Linked DNA regions of Nothobranchius furzeri. The protein of the gene in region 3 purifies or fractionates together with the protein of the main gene of each other region. This does not show direct contact. Links are inferred from orthologs where the notes say so. Each region holds a gene or a part of one and is shown on either strand. Other genes may lie near its edges.

Region 1 (4,538 bases), on a different chromosome or scaffold from region 3:
TTGTTTTCTTTTTTTGTTCACATCTCACTTTTCTTATTCGTTGTCAACTGTGAGCTTGTAACCTCATTGTCACATTGTATATTCTATTTTTGTTAATAAAGGTTTGTTAAAAAAAGTCAATCACGTGACCAAGCGTAAAAAAACCGGCAAGCCCTGCGAAAAAAAACAAAAAAACACCGGCAAGCACTGAGCGCTGATCACCGGTGATCTAATAACCTGCGCAGAACTGGCTCATCTCGGACACGGCCACTGTCTCGTGCCTCCCGGAAGTGAACTGAACTGGTCATGAAAGTAAATACACTGATTTTCATTAATGAAGTGAAAGTCGGCAGACAATTATAATTTTCGTCACGAGTAGGGTTATTTTATCATTTACATATTTATATATAAGACGCAAGACCCGCTGTTATTAGCCTGACCCGCCAGCCCGTGATCCTTATGGGATTGTAATGGTTCCCTGTGTAGAATTAAACAGGCTAGGCTCTAGCAGGCTAGCCACTGAGCACTAACTTTAGGTGAGAAACTGGCGACATATTTAACGAACAAACCTTCAGGCGACCAGTAGAGACGAACGTAGCCGAAGGGTTTTTCAGCTGCAGCCTTTCCTTTAATAAGTTGCTTCCATACGCGAAGTACAGGAAACGGCCGACGCTAGCCACAGACATTGTGATAAAAATACTCCTGCTCGAAAAGAACCTGGTGCCTTCGACATGTGACGAATATGTTAAAAGATGATCGTTTAATATAAAATAACTAGCTTTGGGCAATGATTTACGTCATTCCACGAACCTCTACGTTAGCCCGGCAAGCCATCCTATAGGCTACCATCTACCAGGTCACTTTTCCTACACCGCCATCTAGCGGTGACTTTGGTCCCCGGTGTAATGTAAAACAACGTTCCCCCACCTACATGTGCAGTTTTACCAATTATCACAACTGATGTGAGAAACTGCACCTAAAAGTTGACTAAATAAACAGTTTTGCTTTATTTTGTCAACTGTAGTGGGATAAAGGTCTGATGACTAAATAATAATTTCATAAAATACATTTTTATTTTAGAGCCTGGCCTGCCAGACTCATCTGTGTAACTTTATACACAAGGAAGCGTGGGGCTGGCTAGTACACCAGTAGCATTGGGATCTGATTGGGACAACACAGTAGTTAATGATGCTAGTTTATGTGCTGACACTTTATTCAGTATTAAAAACCAACACAAAGAAGTCAGAGTAATTTGTCCTCTTAACCAGAAGTTTAATGTACAAAAAAAAAAGTCCAACTAAAAAGCACACAGAAATTCACAAAACGTTTCTGCTTTAATGAAGCAAAGGAAAAAAAAAATCCTGTACAAACAGTGAAGTGTTAGGAATCAACAGAACAGCCTTGCGATCATCTCCTTGGTCCACCTCGTCCCCGTCCCCTTCCTCTCCCACGTCCCCGTCCCCTGCCTCGTCCCCGTCCAGCCACTGAGGAGACAGATGAGCAGCATCAGCACAAGTGTCACAAACACCATATTGCTCATTTAGCATCTGGTCCTTTAAACCACTCCTTAAATTATGTCGTACAGTTAATGTTACAATTTAGTTCTTTTAATATAAACCCATGCAGAAACCTGTGCAAACACACCAGTTACATCACTGTGAAAACCTTTTTGTTCACGCAAAGGAGAATTCAGATTCACTTTCTAAAAAAAACACCTTAAGATAAAATTCAACTCAACATATCTTATGCATTTTCACCTTTCTCACCTGCTTCTCTCTTCTTGGACTTGATCTTTGGCTCGATGTCAACCAGCAAGGTGTCCAGAGGGAGGCTGTCTGGGAGGATGAAGTAGCGAATATTGTTGCCGCGGATACTCAGCGACTCCAGCTGAGTGGGCTCCCTGTTTTTTAGGGTCATTTTTACCGCCTTCAGGTGAGTGTTCATGCTCACATCAACACCTGAAAAACAGAGAGGAGGGATGAAACACCAGCCATAAGTACATCTGGCACTTGAGTTTAGGATTAATTTTACAGATTAGAAAATATTTTAATTTGCAGGTTGTGTGTGTGCTTGTCTAGGGTTTGTTAAACATAAAAAAATCCCATCAAATAGGATTAAATAATACAAAAACATACATTGTGCAGATTTATCTGTACTAAAGTCTGACTATGAGGATGAAAGCACAGCTGTGGGTATTAATCTACTTAATGCATACAAATATATGTCATTAGTATTGAAATTAAAGAGCTTCAGCTGACTCCTGGCTTATCTGACCACCTTTATGAGCTCACCTGTGATGGTGCCGTGAACCTGGGTGCCATTTTTCAGCTCAATGGTTACGGTTTCATGGCTGAGCTTCATCAAAAACCTGTGGGCATCATTGCACACGATGACTGAGTGAAAACATCACAACGTAATTGGGACATTTCTCGCAGAGGCTAGATAGTAGCTTAGCTTTAGCTATCTAGTTAGCCACCGATGGCTATTAGGTGACTTTTAAAGCGTTTGAAACAATAAAAACACTGATTATCCACCAGTTTAACAGCTAAACTAAATATTTACAAAATGAACTCTAACAAATTATGTTAAAACCCCATTTTGAGCCGCTTTAGTTGATTGACAAGCTAATGCTACAACGGTTGAATGAGTTAACGTCTAGCCTAATATTTTTACTTATTGAAATAGAAATGTACTTAAAGTAGACGTTCATCTATGTTGATAATTAAAACTGTGCGTAGGAACGTGTTTTAAACCCTCAGCGGTCGCCGTAACGTCGCTCAGGATCCATTACATTTTTCCACTTCCCGCCTCATCACCGTTTAATCAAATCCCAATCCATCCGGCCACATCACTTTCATTTGATCAGTTTACGTTAATTCTCCGGTTAATCCGGGACCTCCCGCTGCCGCCTACCTGACTAGTTTCATGATGATGGAAAACAGTAGAGAAAAATCCTCCACCGAAGACAAAAATTACAGCGATCGAGTGAAAACACAGGCCGCTGTTGTATTCGAAACGTTCAGGGATGTGACGTCACTAAAAGGCGACAACAAAGACGAGGGGGTGTAATTACCGCCATCTACTGGTGGAATTGTGATCCGTTCTAACACTTTTGTTTTATTTTTCTGTGCAACATGTTTTACAGTAGTGTTAAAATCCACAATCTTTATTTTACTACTAATTTATTGGAATCTGGCAGTTAAAAGGTCAAATATCCAAAACAAAGATCCCTAAATGATCAATATTTAGGAAGATCACTACCGTTACCTACTGCTGGATTCGTGATCTGCAGAATTTGCAACCAAAAGGTCAAAACGGTGTTTATGTGCAACATGTGTTAAAGTCGTAGTAAAATTTACATTTTTACTGATTTATCAAAATCTGGAAGATGAAAAAAGGTAAAATATCCACAACAATTAACCCTAACTGATCAAGACCTAATTCATTCAACAGATCAGGAGACAACTTCAGAGAACTTGTCGCAGTTGAATAAAACCACAAAGCAGCACTTTCAGCTCATTTTATTAAGAGTAAACTCTGCACCGATACTTAAGAGATTTGGCCACACATCAAATCTGTCTTCTTGAGACCTGCTGGGAATGTATCAAGTATAATCAATGAGAGTGCTTTTTTTTATTCCAAAGATGTAGGCTGAGACCAATAAATCATAAAGTGTGAAGCACAAAAAGAAAAACGGCACAAGGCCATTAAACTCAGCATTATTCCACTTCTAATAATAATAAAAATAAATAAAACCGTCATCCTCTCTGTGTGTTGCCTGCACATGATTGACGCAACACGTTATTAATATTCTGGAGCAGAAAAAGTCTCGACTCAGTGCATCTGCTGTTGAACTCTAGAAAAGAAAATCTAATTATGCAGTGGTTTAAAACAGAAGTCATGAAATATTACAGCAGGTGAGCACGTGTTCCTGGAAATCTTTCATGTGGAAACAGATAATGTCCTTTTGGGGTTTCTCTCCACCTTAACCATAGCAACTGAGTAATCGATCTTCAGATCAGCAGTCGTGTTTTATTCTCCTGTAAACGTTACAGCGGGGCTCAAACAGGAAGTCACACGTCCAACAAAATAAAATCAAAGGTCAGCTGGACGTGAACATTCAGATAAAGGGGTTAAACGTCGGGCCGCTGCGCCATGAAATGTTTTAGGCTTTTAAACTTTGATTTAGCGTGTTTAAAAAACAATGTTAACAAATAGAAACTAAAGAAGGCACACACACCAAAAGAAGATCCTCACTATAATAAGGAAGTGATGATAAATGATTTATTTCTAAAGCAGCTAATAAATACGAGTCAAACGATGCTGTAGTGTGAACGCCGATATGCTAAAAGCGTATAAACCTAAAGTGACTGAAAATGAAGGTAAACAGCTCAGAGATGATAAAATGAATTTCGTCGACTTGTGGGCTGCACGGTGGCGCAGCTGTTAGCACTGTTGCCTCGCAGCAAGAAGGTTGCAGGTTCGAAACTCGGCTGCGGCCTTTCTGCGTGGAGTTGCGTGTTCTCCCCGCGCACGCGTGGGTTTCCCCCACAGATCAC
Region 2 (4,816 bases), on a different chromosome or scaffold from region 3:
CCAGTTAAACAGACAGTTGCTGTCGCGTTCACCAGCTGGTCTCAAAGCAGACAAAACTCTGAATTGTTCACTCCTAAAAGATCCATCAGAAAAGCTCCACTTTATGATTCAGAATTTATAAAAGAACACCAAATACTTCTGATTTAGTTATAAAAGTAAAAATCTTATTTAAGATCGTTTTTCGTACAGGCTTTAGTTTTTGTGACTACCTGTGCTTTAGACAGAAAACAGTCATCTATCCACTGTTGAGCCTTTATGTACTGAACACTGTCGCCATCAAGTGGTACAAAGACCAAATAACAGATATGCTGCTGAGTTTATTACTTTTAACTGTTTACATTCTTCAGTATGAAACAAATTTATGGTTTTTAGACAAATTTACTATCTACAAATTAGGATTTGTTTTTCAAAAGTATTATGTTCAAGTAAGCTTAAGGCTTTGATATTTAATTATAAAGTCAGTCTAACTGGAAACTGAGAAAAGGTTTGTCTTTTTACTAAATACCCATCTATTCATCATGAATGACCTACTGTGCTCTCTTCAGCTTTATGTTTTAGGAGAATCATTTGTGTTTTTTTTTTACTGGTTGCTGGTCATGCAAGTGAAAACTGAACCTGCTTTAACAAATTGCACACATTTCCTAAATAGAAAGGCACATTTATATTGTAAAAACTTCTATTTTGATTCAGTTGTAGTAAAACCAACTATATTTGTGAGATTAATCCTTGTTGGATCAACCATTTCCACTTCAGTTTCTGAGAATTTATTGTAAAAGACGAAATGATACAGAATTTGATGAAAGAGTGAGAAAAACAATGTTATTCTTTTCTTATTTGTCCTTCTCCTTTTGCTCCTTTTCCTTTTTGTCTTTTTCAGCCTTGGCCTCTTCAGCCTCGTGCTTCTTGATGAGCTCCTCCACCTCCTTCTGTTTCAACACCTTGATCTTGGTTTTTCCATCTTCACGTGTCAAGGTGGCGATCTCAACTGAAACGATCAGAACAGAATCATGCTACTGTTGCAACAGGAGGATCTTTTCAACAGTCAAGTGGACCTTTAAGTTTTAACTTGCTTAACTTACTGCTGCACCATCCGAGAGTGCCACAGAACCTCACCTTTCTCTGCTGACAGCTTGCTGACATCCATGGTTTTGTTGAGGACTTTGATGGCCAACGCCAAAGCAGAAGACAGGGTCATCTCCCCTTCTTTGTAGTCCTGCTTCAACATGGAAACTGCAGCCTGACACCAAAAAGTCAAACAAATCAAACCAAATGATCCAAACTACCATTTTGACTTTACAGCTACTCTGACTTACAGCACTGTTGTTCCCAATACAGGTTGCCTTCCAACCTCCGTAGTTGCCACTGGGGTCACTTTGGTACAGCTGGAAGCCGTAGTGCTTGTCCCACCCCATGTAGAGGAGAGAAACACCAAACGGCCTCTTGCCTGTTCAGACAAACAGCTTATACACACATTCTTGTTTGTAAAGTAATATATACAAGAGCAGAGTGACATGTTCATATGAAAGGAAGCATGTTGATAAACAGTATGAAGCAGAGTAAGGAGGAGTATCTTGCCTCCAAACTGTGTGTAGGCTTGCTTTATGTCACACAGAGCTGTGACCAGCTGCTCACACGGTATGGGCTCTTGGTACTGTAGTAAATACCTGAAAAGGAAAAGATCTCAGTCATGATGACGAACACTTTTCAGATCTGTTCATTTTTTTCCATTTGTGACAGAGGATTCTGTTAACACTCACCTCTGTGCAATTAGCCGCAGCTCATTTGTCAATACATTGGCATCAGATGTGATTCCAGCAACACTACAAGCCATGTCTCTGGAAAGCAGATCAACAAATCAGCCTTAAAAACAAGTAAAAACATAAAAAAAAAAATACTTTCAAAATAACATAAGCTGGTTTAAGCTTCTCACTCATTGAGCTTGTAGATCTTCTCAGAGAAGAAAACTTCATCTAGCAGTTTGTGGATGTTGCGTCTTTCTGCGGCTAACAGCACCCCATCGTTTGCTAGAATCCCCAGACAGGTTCCAGCGTGACCAATTGCTTCCATTGCATACTCCACCTGATAAAGACGTCCTGGAAATTACAGAAAATATTTTGTTTAACATTTGTTTTGTTAAAAAAAGAAAACAATCTAAATGAGCAAGAGTACTTGCATGGGTTTATTAAAACTACTTTTGCTTCCCTATTGAGCCCAAGAACAGATCTAAAGTTAACTTATTTCACTTCAGTTCAGTTTCACTCATGATGGGCCTTTTCCCTAATTTCATCCCCATCCTATCCAGACACCATACGCCTTTTACTTCCTTTTTATTTTTATCTTTACTGTGTTTTCCCCTCACCACTCCTAGATTGCCTGAGTGGGTGTAACAATTAAAACAATGAAAACATGGTTTACCAGTGAAATATTCGTGCAAATTGGGATTTGAAGGTTTTGCTACAAAATAGTGTAGTTGACATCATGTTTATATTTAAATAAACATGCTCTGCATGCCAAAAAATAGTGAAGTAATCATTTTCTCAGCTATCAGAAATGTGAATGGTCTTTCCGTTTTACAATATAAAAACAACTACTTTTGCATTGCGAAGACTAAAACGTGTCTTAAGAATTACCTTCAGGTGAAAATATGGTTGTCCGAGAGTCATACCTGCGAGACTACGTACAAATAAAATAGATAAAACGACATGAAGCAATCACATAAAAACTGATAAATACATAAAAATCATAGGGCGTATGAAGCACATAATTACCATTTTCTCAGGTCACCTGAGATTTCCTAAATAGAAGCAACACAAGTGTTAGCAGGAGCAATCAAATAGCCAAACATTACAGATATACACGAACAGAGCTATATTGTGACCATTTGAACATTTAGATAAAAATTTCATGAAAGTTAGAGGACCGAAACTTTGATAGCAACGAGGATCAAACACTGATAGCAAGCTGCTGTAGCGCGTTGCTACAGCAGAATGAATCTGCAATATCGTAGCATGCTAACACGTTAGCTTACAGCCTCTCTGTTTCTCATGTCTCTAATTGGGAGTGCGACAAACTGAGACAATATAATAAACAACTTATAATTACACTGAAAAAAAGCAAAATAATGCGTCAAACATTTAAGCATCGATATTCTGTTACCTTAAACCAAAGAGTCTGAAACGGCGTACTTTTGCTTGAGCTACAGGGTTTGCTCTGCTAACACTTTCAGTTTGATATTTCCTCGCTCCTCCACCGGCGTCCGGCAGTGAAGTAGCCGCTCAGCAGCGCCGCCTGTTGGTAGGAGGACTGATAAATCTGAGATTCACCTTTACTGAAAACAAAAACATGGCTGCGCAGTGACGCAGTGCTTACAGTTGTTGCCTTGTAGCAAGAAGGTCCTAAGTTCGCTTCCCGGCCATTTCTGCATGGAGTTTGCATGTTCTCACTGTGCATGCGTGGGTTCTCTCCGGGCACTCCGGCTTCCTTCCACAGTCCAAAAACATGACTGTTAGGTTGATTGGTCTGTCCAAATTGCCCTTAGGTGTGAGTGTGTGTGTGTGCATGATTATTTGTCCTGTGTCTCTGTGTTGCCCTGCGATGGACTGGGTGTACCCCGCCTGATTGCCCGTTGACACACTGGAGATAGGCACCGGCCCCCCGCGACCCTGCTGGACAAAGCGGGCTCAGAAAATGGATGGATGGATGAAAAAAAAAACGTAAATAACATGTTAGCTGAATTTCCAAGACACTTCCTAATTATATGACAAACGCCATACCCTCATTGAAAGCTGTACTCTACTTGTTTTTTGTCTCTCTCTCTCTCTCTCTCTCTCTCTCTCTCTCTCTCTCTCTCTCTCTCTCTCTCTCTCTCTCCCTTTTTTTCTTTCTTTTTTTGGTTTACTTAATTTGTATTTACTAATGTCATAGTATATTAACTGCTCATTTTAAATTTAGTTTTTGGATTTAACATTTTCAAAATGCCATGTTTTTTGTAAATTTACTAAATAAAGTTCTTGCAGTGTGAAACAATAGATATACTGTCAGATAGAACATATGTGAGCTATAATGAGTGACCTGGTAAAGGGAACAATTCGAAAAATAGACAAAACAGTTTATTTTAAAGTTGTAAAGCGTTTACTGAAACCTTAAAATTAAATGGTAGAAATTTACATTTTTAACATTAAAACAATGAGAGCAGCATTTAAAAATCGCTTAAATACATTTCTCGTGTTTCGTATTGAAGATTGAAAACAATTACACCCAGTTGGTGGCGCTAATGCAACTATCCGTTTGACAACCGCCAGAAATGAGTAGAAGAAGAACTGTCGCGCGTGATTGGTTGATTAAGCAGCATGGCGTTTGAATGAGAGCAGGAAGTGTAAAGAGGTTATCGTCGTCTGGTGAAACTTCACTAGTCAATCAGTAGTACAGAGTTCCAGACGCCTGTGACCGCGGAGAGTTGACCATACTTATAATCAGGATATGTCTTAGAGATAAAACAAAATTTATCCGGAGAGGTAAGGGCTTATTAATGTTGTTTGATTAAGTAATGCTAATTTTGAGCTAGCTCAGTGTAAGCGAGTACAAGTTAGCCTGGCGTCAGCTGGTGGTAAAATGACACAATTTATTAAAAACGTCGCTGTTTTGCTACCGGTAGGACCCCGCTTTTTAAAAATCCATTTTAGAGTAAAATTGAATGGTTTCCGTTACCGGCTTGGGAGCGTCGTGTTGCCTGGAGTCATTTCTGACATTGTTATCAAGTTTCTGCGTAGAAATGCGACATCAGTGAAACAACTTTTTCTAAAAACATTGTTTTGAT
Region 3 (4,070 bases):
CCAAACTGCTGGGACTAAAAGTTCTCATCTTTTTATAGCTGCTCAAAAATACTCGTGAGAAAAGTTACACCAAGAGAAATAAGGAACAACTGAAAATCTTTGCGTAGCTCGTGACTTTGCAGCTTAAACACCGGGTGACTTTGCAGCTGAGAATCGGCGAAGCTACACAGAATCAGAACAGCTGACGTTCAGATTAGTCGCACAACAACAGTGCTGGAGGGACAGCGGTCTGATCACGATGCAAGAACACGAGGAGTCTCCACACACCTTTCTAGTGATGGTGACAAAACCAAAGTGGATGTTACAGCTACTGTGTATCTACATTGGATCATCAAACAACAACGCCCATCACACCATCTCCTTTTAGTTTCCAACTCTTCTCAATCAGAATTTTCCAGTAGCTCCGTGCTGCAGATCCTCTCTAAATGTACTTAAAACAGGTCGACTCCATTTAAATACAAACCTTTGAAGCGTGGCTCCCTGTTCCCACCCAAAAAAACAACATCCATGTCTCACAAAGTATAAAAAAAAAATTCTCGACCCACCCCGGCCCCGTTATTACACACATTTCTCAAATTTCATACACATCCCAACCCACCCAGCTACACGACTACCGCCCCAAACCGAGCCCGGTGTTACATTTAAAATAAACACACGCCATTCCTCTCCTCCTCCCTGCCACACTGGTGCTAAATGCTCAACACGTCACGTAGATCTCCTTTAATTAACCGGACATCACCAAAGCCGTTCGCCAAACGATTAACAGTCCGAGATCTACCTGAAATGCTGCTCAGCCAAAATCACTCCGAGGGCTATTTGGAAACAGGCAGTACATGCTACACTCCCTCCCTCCCCCCTCCCTCCCCTTTCCCTCTCATCGTCCCCCCTCTACCAGAAGTCCCGGCGGTGATAAGCATCTGGATCGCAGTATTTCGTTACCACCACCCTGTTGGCAAACTTCCTTCCAGTCAGCCCCTGCATGGCCTTCTGGGCATCAAAAACTGAAGTGAACTCCACAAAAATCTGTGAAGCGAGGGAAAACAAGAGGCACGGTTATGATTTGCTGATCCATCAAAGCGCTTTACATCAGAATCTGAAGGTTGCCTACCTTGCCCGTCCCAGGTATGTCCAGGCCGTCCACCGGACGAGGGATCTCGATGCTTTTCACTTGGCCGTACTTGCTGCACTCCTCCCTGACGTCTTCCACAATCTCCTCATATTCTTCATCGTCCAGGAGCTCCTCGGGGGCCACCATGTTCATCAGGCACAGCACCTCAGTGGGCAGGCCACCCATCTGAGTGACGGAGCTGTTCAAACCCGGCACCTGCAGCGTCACCGGGGTCTGGTTTATAGTTGTCTGGAGAAAAAACAACAACAAAGACTTTCACGTTCAGGCTTCTGCATACCGCCATAGATCCACCCTAAACACAAGCGCACAGCTTCATATTCAGTACACGACTTGGCTGAAAAGACGTATATTTGTCCTGGTTAGAACTGAACAGACGAGGAGCTGCAGCAGATCTATTCAGCAATCTGTCTCGGTCCGTTTTAGAACCGACATCCAGCCTCCCACCGTTCTGCTGTCATTCACCCAGCAGCTGGAGCCTCACCAGAGTGGCGTTCTTGGATCCCACGCTAGCCCTCTGCACCAGGAGCTTCTTGTCTCCGAGCTGCATGCCGTTCAGTCCAGCGATAGCCTGTGCAGACAGCCAAAGCTCAGTGACCCGTTTCCAGAAAGGTTCCACCACAGACGTACCTGCTGGGACCCGTTACCTGATCGTTCAGGTTGACATCAACATATTCACAGAAGGCATATCCTTTAGATAGGCCTGTGGCACTGTCTTTTACCAGGTTAAAGGCCTTCAGAGGGCCAAACGACGTCAACAACTCCTTCACCTGAAACACGAGAGTTCACGCGAGTTTAGATGGAAACTAAAGCAAACAAGATTAATGTCAACTTTTTATTTCATTCGGTTCATTTCAACACCAAAATGTCACCAATAAGAAAACACACATGAATGCTAAGCACCAGGATGGCACTTAGACTGCAACACCGACCTGGTCATCGTTCAGATAATTGGGCAATCCACCAATAAAGAGCTTGTGAGCCGAGTCTGGGACCACTGTGGACACCACTCCTGCAAAATGTGCAAGGACAAGAACGAGTCTGAGGAACCCGAGAAGAGGCTCACGTGGATATTGAGTGATCAAATGTTTATGTATACTTGTAGCAAAATGTAAGGATAAAAACCATTAATTGTCTGTGTACCAGGCACATAGACACTGGGGTTCTCGCTCATGCCGGGCAGTGGCTGGTAGTCGTGCGGACGACGGATTTTAAGGCTTTGGCCTTGAAAGATGATGCCATCAAAGGCCATTGCCTGTGTCGTTTCATCCACTGAACGAAACTGAACAGAAACATTTAAAAACACACAAACAAGATCCAACGAGAGTTCAGGAATACTTCAGAGCAGGAGTAGGGAACCCTGGTCCTGGAGAGCCGCCAGCCAACACGTTTTAGGTTTCCCTGCTCCGACACAGAGGATTCACCAGTTTAGCAGCTCATCAGCCTCTACAGAAGCCTGTTAATAGCCTGCTGTTTAAAATCAGATGTGTTGAAGCAGGGAAACCTCTAAAACGTGTTGGATCGGGACCAGGGTTCCCTAACCCTGCTCCTGAGGATCATTAATGACCATCACGGGATGTTTCTCACCTCAAGGAAGGCAAAGTTCTTGTCCTGGTTGATCTGTACAGCGAGGACAGGATTTCCAGGGGCCTGAGTAAGACCACCTAAACGCATCTGAGCGTTAAAGAAGTCCATCATGGACTCCTACACACACACGCACACACACACACGCACACGCACACACACACACAAAGAGTAAAGGTCATTAAAACGATATTATCCAAACCGAAATATGCTTTTCTGTTTCTCACCTCTGTGATACCAAAGGGGATGTTGCCAACATAAAGACGGCGGGCCTGCCGGGTCATCTGGCTGCCCACCACAGGTACGGGGGTGGGGGTTACAGCCAGGCCGTCTGGGGTCATGGTCGGCAGGAGGGCGGTGGCTGGAATTTGTCCTGCCGCTGAAAAACACGAAACACAAAGTTATAATCTTCCATTTTACCACACTACCATCATATCTACATCACATAGAGGTTTCAGTACCGCGATGGATAACATCCCAACTATAAATGTATCAAACTTGTTACCCTGCATGGCTTTGTACTGCATGGGAGTGATGTGTTCAAATCCAGGCGGAGGGACATCCCAGTACTTCTTTATCTTCTTCTTCTTCTCACGCTGAGGAGAACGGCTGTTTGACAAAAAGAAAAAAGTGAAATAAATTTAACTCACGTTTTGATTAAATACAGGGTGATTTGCTGAAATATATTAAGAAATAATGATTTTAAGACCAAATTCACTCATTTAAGCAACACATTTGCTGTTGTCTCTGGTATAAACGAGTTAATCTCTGAGGAAAAAAGCTCTGAAGCTCCAGTTTCAGAAACTCAAAGTGAGCCAGAGCAGAGTTGAGTTTCAGACGGAGGATTTGGACTCTTAGTTCCTGATATTTGAACATATCACCTCTGATTGGATAACAGCAATGTGACTCTACAACTGACTGTTAGCTCTGGAACGTTGATGTTTTATCTCCAAACATAAAACCAGCCTGGAGGAGTTCTGCTGTGTGGTGGAGTTGCAAATGCTAATGGCTAGCTTCTACTAGTTGAGATGTTTTCTGCGGTTTTCTAGACACTAAAACAACAACAGCCTTCCCCGTCGCGAGCCAAGATGGGTGAGTCCACGAACGTTAACTTGACTATGGCCGTGTTCGAGATGAGCCAGTTCTGCGCAGAGTCGATCACCAGTGATCGGCGAGCAGTGCATGCCGGTTAGATTTGTGTCTGACTTGACGCCAACTTGCTCTGACGTCATGCATACGTAGGCATCGATAACCTCGTGAGATCAAGGCGGCCGCAAATTTTAGAGCAAGGCGCTGCAGTTGCTCTCCCTCGGCTGCAAAACCTAGGGGATGAAGGGAAACGCCTGGCTCTCACCTGATC
Region 4 (4,970 bases), on a different chromosome or scaffold from region 3:
GGTTTCAAACACATAAAGAGCTGTGATTGGTCCATAATGGTGGGCCAATCATAGTGCTCTATCTGCTTAGTGAACAAATCACAGAGCTTTATTCGCTTTGTGGGCCAATCAGGGCACTCTATATGCCTGGTGGGTGGGATGATGCAACAGAGTGAAACAAGAGTATGTCACATTCATTGTCCAGTGGAATGCGGAGATCATTTGAAAGACAACGGTAGAACCCGCCCCACAACCGAGAGCCGTCAATGGAGCGTGGCCAGACTAAATAATACATTTATTTAGTCTGGCTTGCCAGGTCTGGCTAGCTGCTTCAGGCAACATAATCATATGTCTTCTGAGATTTTTCGGTGGCATCATTTTATGCATCTCTGATTCAGATACGCCTTCTCTGAAGACGGTGGACCAACAATCATTCCCAGACCAGATCCTTACATTCCAATTGGCCAGCGAGACGGACCAAGTGCTCTGGATCTTCATAAAATTAACACCCTGTATGACTGTGGTAGGTATAATGACACAAAACAACTTTATTATTTAATTATACTCATAATCGCTGATCTCTTATAGATTTTTTTATTTGATTTTCTCTCCAGGTCCTAATGAGTAACTAAATCTCTGTGGAAATCTCTGCTCTAAAGTCCTGCCGAATGTGGAAAATAGTTTATTATCATTCAGGCTAATTCATTTTTAATAGGCAGAATTTTTTTTTGTGTGTGTTTGTGTTTTTAGTTTGTGTCGGCTTTTAGATTGTGTCCACTCATCTTTGGGTACAAATCCATTGATTGCCATCAAACTATTGGATATATCAACTAAAATATGAATTCTATGAATATTCAGCCTCCCCTGTGACAAAGCTTTGTAGATAATAATTTTGTACAATCGTCTGCTCTTTTTGCTTTTGCTTTTTGATTCCTAATAAATAAAATGCAACAGAAAAAAGTTGTGGTCACTTTTACATATGAATCATCTGTGTTTTTCAGCAATAAATGAACAAATCAATTAAATTCTATTATGCTGTATTATTTTTCGCACAAGATCTTAAGAAAATCTTGTACTTTCCCGTTGACATGCCAAATCATCACACATGCATGTGAACAAAATGTATATTTAGACAGGTTTGATTAGGCTTCTATCAATTATTCATTTCTTACAAAAATGCATTTTTTGTGACTTAATGGTGTGTTATTTGTGCCTTTCTCATGTAGCTTTGATACACATTAAATTTACTTATTTTTACATAAACTGGAGGACATCAAAGGAGGAGCATTAGATTTAATGATGAATTCTCATATTTAATTGTATTAGGTAAATTACTTACTGTGAGTATTTCCCATTATTATTATTATTATTATTAGTAGTAGTAGTAGTAGTGTTGTTGTTTGATTATTTTCTTCTAATTGAATCCAGCCCTCTAATGCAAATATATATATATAATTCTACAGATGTTTTTCCATTGACATAGTTTTATTTTGTAGCTCTGCGCTACTTTTGAAAAAGAAAACTGGTTTCCGCTGAAGGGCTGAGCGCGTTTGAGTGACGTCATTTTGATTTCCAGGCTGTTTGTCAGTCTTTTCTAGCTCAATGGAACACAACAGTAACCCTCCATCTAGAATAATCACTATCAATAAAATGAGTGACAAAGAGCAGGTATGTGTGAACTTTTTTTTTATTTAGCTTTTTTTTATTATTTTCAATTCGTTCATGATTAAAAAGTGATTCTCTTCCGAGCACCGCGTTGTGTTTTTCGGCTAATGCTCTTTCTGTTTGCTAACTCGTGTTTTTGGTCAAATGTATCATGTTTATTTACTCCACGAAGCATAACAGTGTTAAATCGGTCGTTTTTTCCCTACGAGAAAGCATGTAGGATGAAAATTATATTATTTAGCTTCTGTGAATTAAGCTAGCTGGCTAAGGCTAACGTGTAGCTAGGCCTCAACTTCTGATTACTTTTGTTGCGATATTGGCAAAGGTCTACCACAACCCGCAAAGAAATACATTAATTTTTAAACCATTCAAGCATTTTTAGAGGTAGCTGTTGCAACTTGAACACATTTTTAGCTGAAATGCTAATTATGCTAATGGAACATGCTAGAAGGAAGTAGACGCTAGGGCTTTTTAAGCCATAAAAATTATCGATGAAAGGCTATAATTTAATCATTTGTAGTGCTTTATTCATGTTAACTGTGTGTTTGGCTGCAACTTCGTGTTTGGGTGATTTGCATTTGGTGAAACGGTCAACGTGTTATTGCATTTATCAGCGCAGAAATGTAAAAATAGAAACTCAAAAGGCCTCAAGATGTTTCCTCTTTCATTTACCTGTCAAAGACGAAGGTGGCACTACACTGACTCGATCCGATCAGACTAGAGGCTGTTTTAAATGCTAATTGTTTTTCAGAACCTATTGGGAAATTGTAATATTTAAGGAGATTATTGAGATAATCTTCAAATATCTATTTCTATAAATTAATTAGCTAAAATAAGGATTGTATGTTTACACCCAGAAATAGTCGGGGTTGAAAATCTCTGTAATGGTTATTTTTTAAATCAGAAGCTGAAATTTGGTAACTTCTAAATGTTCTGATGATGCAAATTTATTTGTCTACTTCTCATTTAGTGACTTGCACAAACATCTTGTGATTGATTGGATATTTGATATATTATTTGGGGAATAAGAATAACTTGTGCCTCGTTTGTTTTAAACTTTTTTCTTAAAATCACACTGAAGATCTTTCGAGTGCTGATGATGGGAAAAAAGTACAAACGAGAGGTGTTTGCATCTTGTGGTCATTTTTGTCTGACCTTGCAGTTATTATTTGTAAAGGGTAAAGGACAAATAAGTGGGTTTATTCTGAAATGTAGCTTATTCACATTCAGTGGTTTGAAATGACGGTGAACCATTCATTTTTATAATTTTTTTATGGATGAATAAAACTCCATTGTTGTGTTTTTTTCTGGTGCGACACGTCTCATGCTTTTGTTACGTTCAGGTTGATAAACTAATTGTGTTTATAATTCTCACTTTTCAGGTTGAGCAGTGATTTTTTAAAGATCCCTGCACCCTCCTTCACTTGCTCGTTTTAAAAAACGCGTTGTAAATTGTTAAACAAAATGTGCCAGTAGGGCGTAGAACCACTGAAAGTGAATTATCTTAAAAAAAAAAAAAAAACTGAACATTTGTAATCTTTCTATTTGTGCTAAAAGATCCTGATAACACATGACTGATAACACATGACAAAGTTGAATGAGCGTGCCCTGTTAACTGTAGTCATATATTCTTCATCTTCTTTTTCATTAAGGTTAAGGTTGGACGAAGAAAATGCAGAAGAAGTCTCATGTCCACTTTATTTTCAGTAATATGAAGCTGAGATGTGTGAAGCTGAATTGTTGAATGCATGCTAAAACATGAGGAGGGAAGAACTATGAGCAGTGTGTGTGAAGGGAGAAGTCAGAAGATTTAAGACAATTGAAGAAAGAAGAATAATGTGAAGTAATGAAGTTACAGAAATGAAGTTAAGGAAGTAATCTGGATAAGGTCACTGCGCTAAGTAATTTTCTGGTCTACTTGTCAAATGCGTGCATGTTTTATTTTGTTGAATACAACACAAATTAAATTTTACAATTGAAAAATTTATTTGAATTGTAATTAAGTTAATGTAATCATTGTTGCTATTATAACCTTGGTTGTACAAAGTAACATTAAACATTTATATTTACAAATCAATTTTTTCTACAAATTAACAGGATATATTTAATTCCTATCTCTTTAGAGACTTTTTAAAAAAATGTTCAATATCACATCTGTGATGATAACTGTGTGTGTGTGTGTGTGTGTGTGTGTGTGTGTGTGTGTGTGTGTGTGTGTGTGTGTGTGTGTGTGTGTGTGTGTGTGTTCAGAAGTCTCGCTCTGCTTCCAGGAGCGTGAGCGCACATGGTTCTGGGAAGTCGGCTAGTCGCTCCCGCTCTAAATCCTGGTCTCGCTCCAGGTCCAGGTCTGGGTGAGTTACGAAGCAGCGCTCAGGTGGACTGGACTGAAACGGCCTTGAACTCGTGTGAGGGTGGAAACATTGTCTCTGTCTCTGCAGATCACATTCCCACCGTGGCTCCCGCAGACATTACAGCCGCTCTCGGTCCCGCTCCAAGTCCTATCACCGCAGATCTCGCAGTCGGTCCCACAGCGGGGAACGTCGGCGCAGAAGCCATAGTCACTCCCCTATGTCCAATCGCCGCAGGCACATTGGCAACCGTGTATGTCCTCATTGTTTAGATACATTTCTTTGAATCTGCTCAGCATGAAATTTATAAGCAGATAAACCTATTATTGACCTAATCTTAATATTGCAACAGGCTAATCCAGATCCAAACGGTTGCCTGGGAGTGTTTGGCTTGAGCCTGTACACCACAGAGAGGGACCTAAGGGACGTCTTCTCTAAATATGGACCCCTGGCAGATGTTAGCATCGTGTACGACCAGCAGTCAAGACGCTCCAGGGGCTTCGCCTTTGTTTACTTTGAGAACACAAACGATGCTAAAGAGGTAAAATAATATTTGTTGATTTAAAGAGAAAAAAAATACCTTTCAGATCTATTATTAAAAAAAATTCCATTGAAGGCTGTGTTGATTTTTGCAGCCAGGAGAGAGCAGAATGCATCTCTGCTAGTAGAATTTAACTGTTAGCATTAGCAACTTCACAACATGGCAGAAGTCCTTCAATCTTATTTGTGAAGATTACACATCAGTGTTGCAGAGCAAACAGAGGCAGTTTAAGAGTCGTTTCTGCCCCTCACTCATCCATCTAACTTCTACTTCTGAAAACAGGAGCGCCAGAGCTTTTTTTCCCCTGAAAATGACTCAAAACATTCATTCTGCAGACCACAACAAATGTATTGATGTGTTGTCTTTTTATGCTGTCAGGCGAAGGAGCGTGCGAACGGCATGGAGCTGGATGGTCGCAGAATCAGGGTGGATTTCTC

What was found. The genes of interacting proteins can lie anywhere in the genome.
Region 1: the proteins of splicing factor U2AF 65 kDa subunit (region 3) and snrpd1 fractionate together in Homo sapiens (co-fractionation; 3 studies listed by BioGRID, with this or other methods). This does not show direct contact. The link is inferred for Nothobranchius furzeri from reciprocal best matches to the Homo sapiens genes U2AF2 and SNRPD1.
Region 2: the proteins of splicing factor U2AF 65 kDa subunit (region 3) and psma4 fractionate together in Homo sapiens (co-fractionation; 3 studies listed by BioGRID, with this or other methods). This does not show direct contact. The link is inferred for Nothobranchius furzeri from reciprocal best matches to the Homo sapiens genes U2AF2 and PSMA4.
Region 4: the proteins of splicing factor U2AF 65 kDa subunit (region 3) and tra2b purify together in Homo sapiens (affinity purification with mass spectrometry; 4 studies listed by BioGRID and IntAct, counting the BioPlex papers as one, with this or other methods). This does not show direct contact. The link is inferred for Nothobranchius furzeri from reciprocal best matches to the Homo sapiens genes U2AF2 and TRA2B.

The regions. Positions count from the first base shown.
Region 1 is NC_091759.1:18,893,979-18,898,516, forward strand, and holds snrpd1 (small nuclear ribonucleoprotein Sm D1), read right to left. Parts: upstream 3,031-4,538; 5' UTR 2,907-3,030; coding exon 2,893-2,906; intron 2,348-2,892; coding exon 2,271-2,347; intron 1,938-2,270; coding exon 1,737-1,937; intron 1,464-1,736; coding exon 1,387-1,463; 3' UTR 1,162-1,386; downstream 1-1,161. Other genes in the region: gamma-glutamylcyclotransferase, read right to left, coding at 549-665. UniProt on the Homo sapiens protein: Plays a role in pre-mRNA splicing as a core component of the spliceosomal U1, U2, U4 and U5 small nuclear ribonucleoproteins (snRNPs), the building blocks of the spliceosome.
Region 2 is NC_091749.1:46,740,856-46,745,671, reverse strand, and holds psma4 (proteasome subunit alpha type-4), read right to left. Parts: upstream 3,462-4,816; 5' UTR 3,370-3,461; intron 3,289-3,369; 5' UTR 3,157-3,288; intron 2,795-3,156; 5' UTR 2,772-2,794; coding exon 2,769-2,771; intron 2,674-2,768; coding exon 2,631-2,673; intron 2,094-2,630; coding exon 1,931-2,093; intron 1,836-1,930; coding exon 1,758-1,835; intron 1,665-1,757; coding exon 1,576-1,664; intron 1,445-1,575; coding exon 1,314-1,444; intron 1,238-1,313; coding exon 1,114-1,237; intron 986-1,113; coding exon 831-985; 3' UTR 749-830; downstream 1-748. UniProt on the Homo sapiens protein: Component of the 20S core proteasome complex involved in the proteolytic degradation of most intracellular proteins. This complex plays numerous essential roles within the cell by associating with different regulatory particles.
Region 3 is NC_091745.1:76,211,311-76,215,380, reverse strand, and holds the end of splicing factor U2AF 65 kDa subunit, read right to left. Parts: intron 3,320-4,070; coding exon 3,216-3,319; intron 3,090-3,215; coding exon 2,938-3,089; intron 2,831-2,937; coding exon 2,714-2,830; intron 2,409-2,713; coding exon 2,252-2,408; intron 2,139-2,251; coding exon 2,059-2,138; intron 1,897-2,058; coding exon 1,774-1,896; intron 1,698-1,773; coding exon 1,611-1,697; intron 1,358-1,610; coding exon 1,109-1,357; intron 1,024-1,108; coding exon 889-1,023; 3' UTR 839-888; downstream 1-838. UniProt on the Homo sapiens protein: Plays a role in pre-mRNA splicing and 3'-end processing. By recruiting PRPF19 and the PRP19C/Prp19 complex/NTC/Nineteen complex to the RNA polymerase II C-terminal domain (CTD), and thereby pre-mRNA, may couple transcription to splicing.
Region 4 is NC_091754.1:18,122,042-18,127,011, reverse strand, and holds the start of tra2b (transformer-2 protein homolog beta), read left to right. Parts: upstream 1-1,509; 5' UTR 1,510-1,581; coding exon 1,582-1,647; intron 1,648-3,894; coding exon 3,895-3,995; intron 3,996-4,082; coding exon 4,083-4,245; intron 4,246-4,344; coding exon 4,345-4,533; intron 4,534-4,911; coding exon 4,912-4,970. UniProt on the Homo sapiens protein: Sequence-specific RNA-binding protein which participates in the control of pre-mRNA splicing. Can either activate or suppress exon inclusion. Acts additively with RBMX to promote exon 7 inclusion of the survival motor neuron SMN2.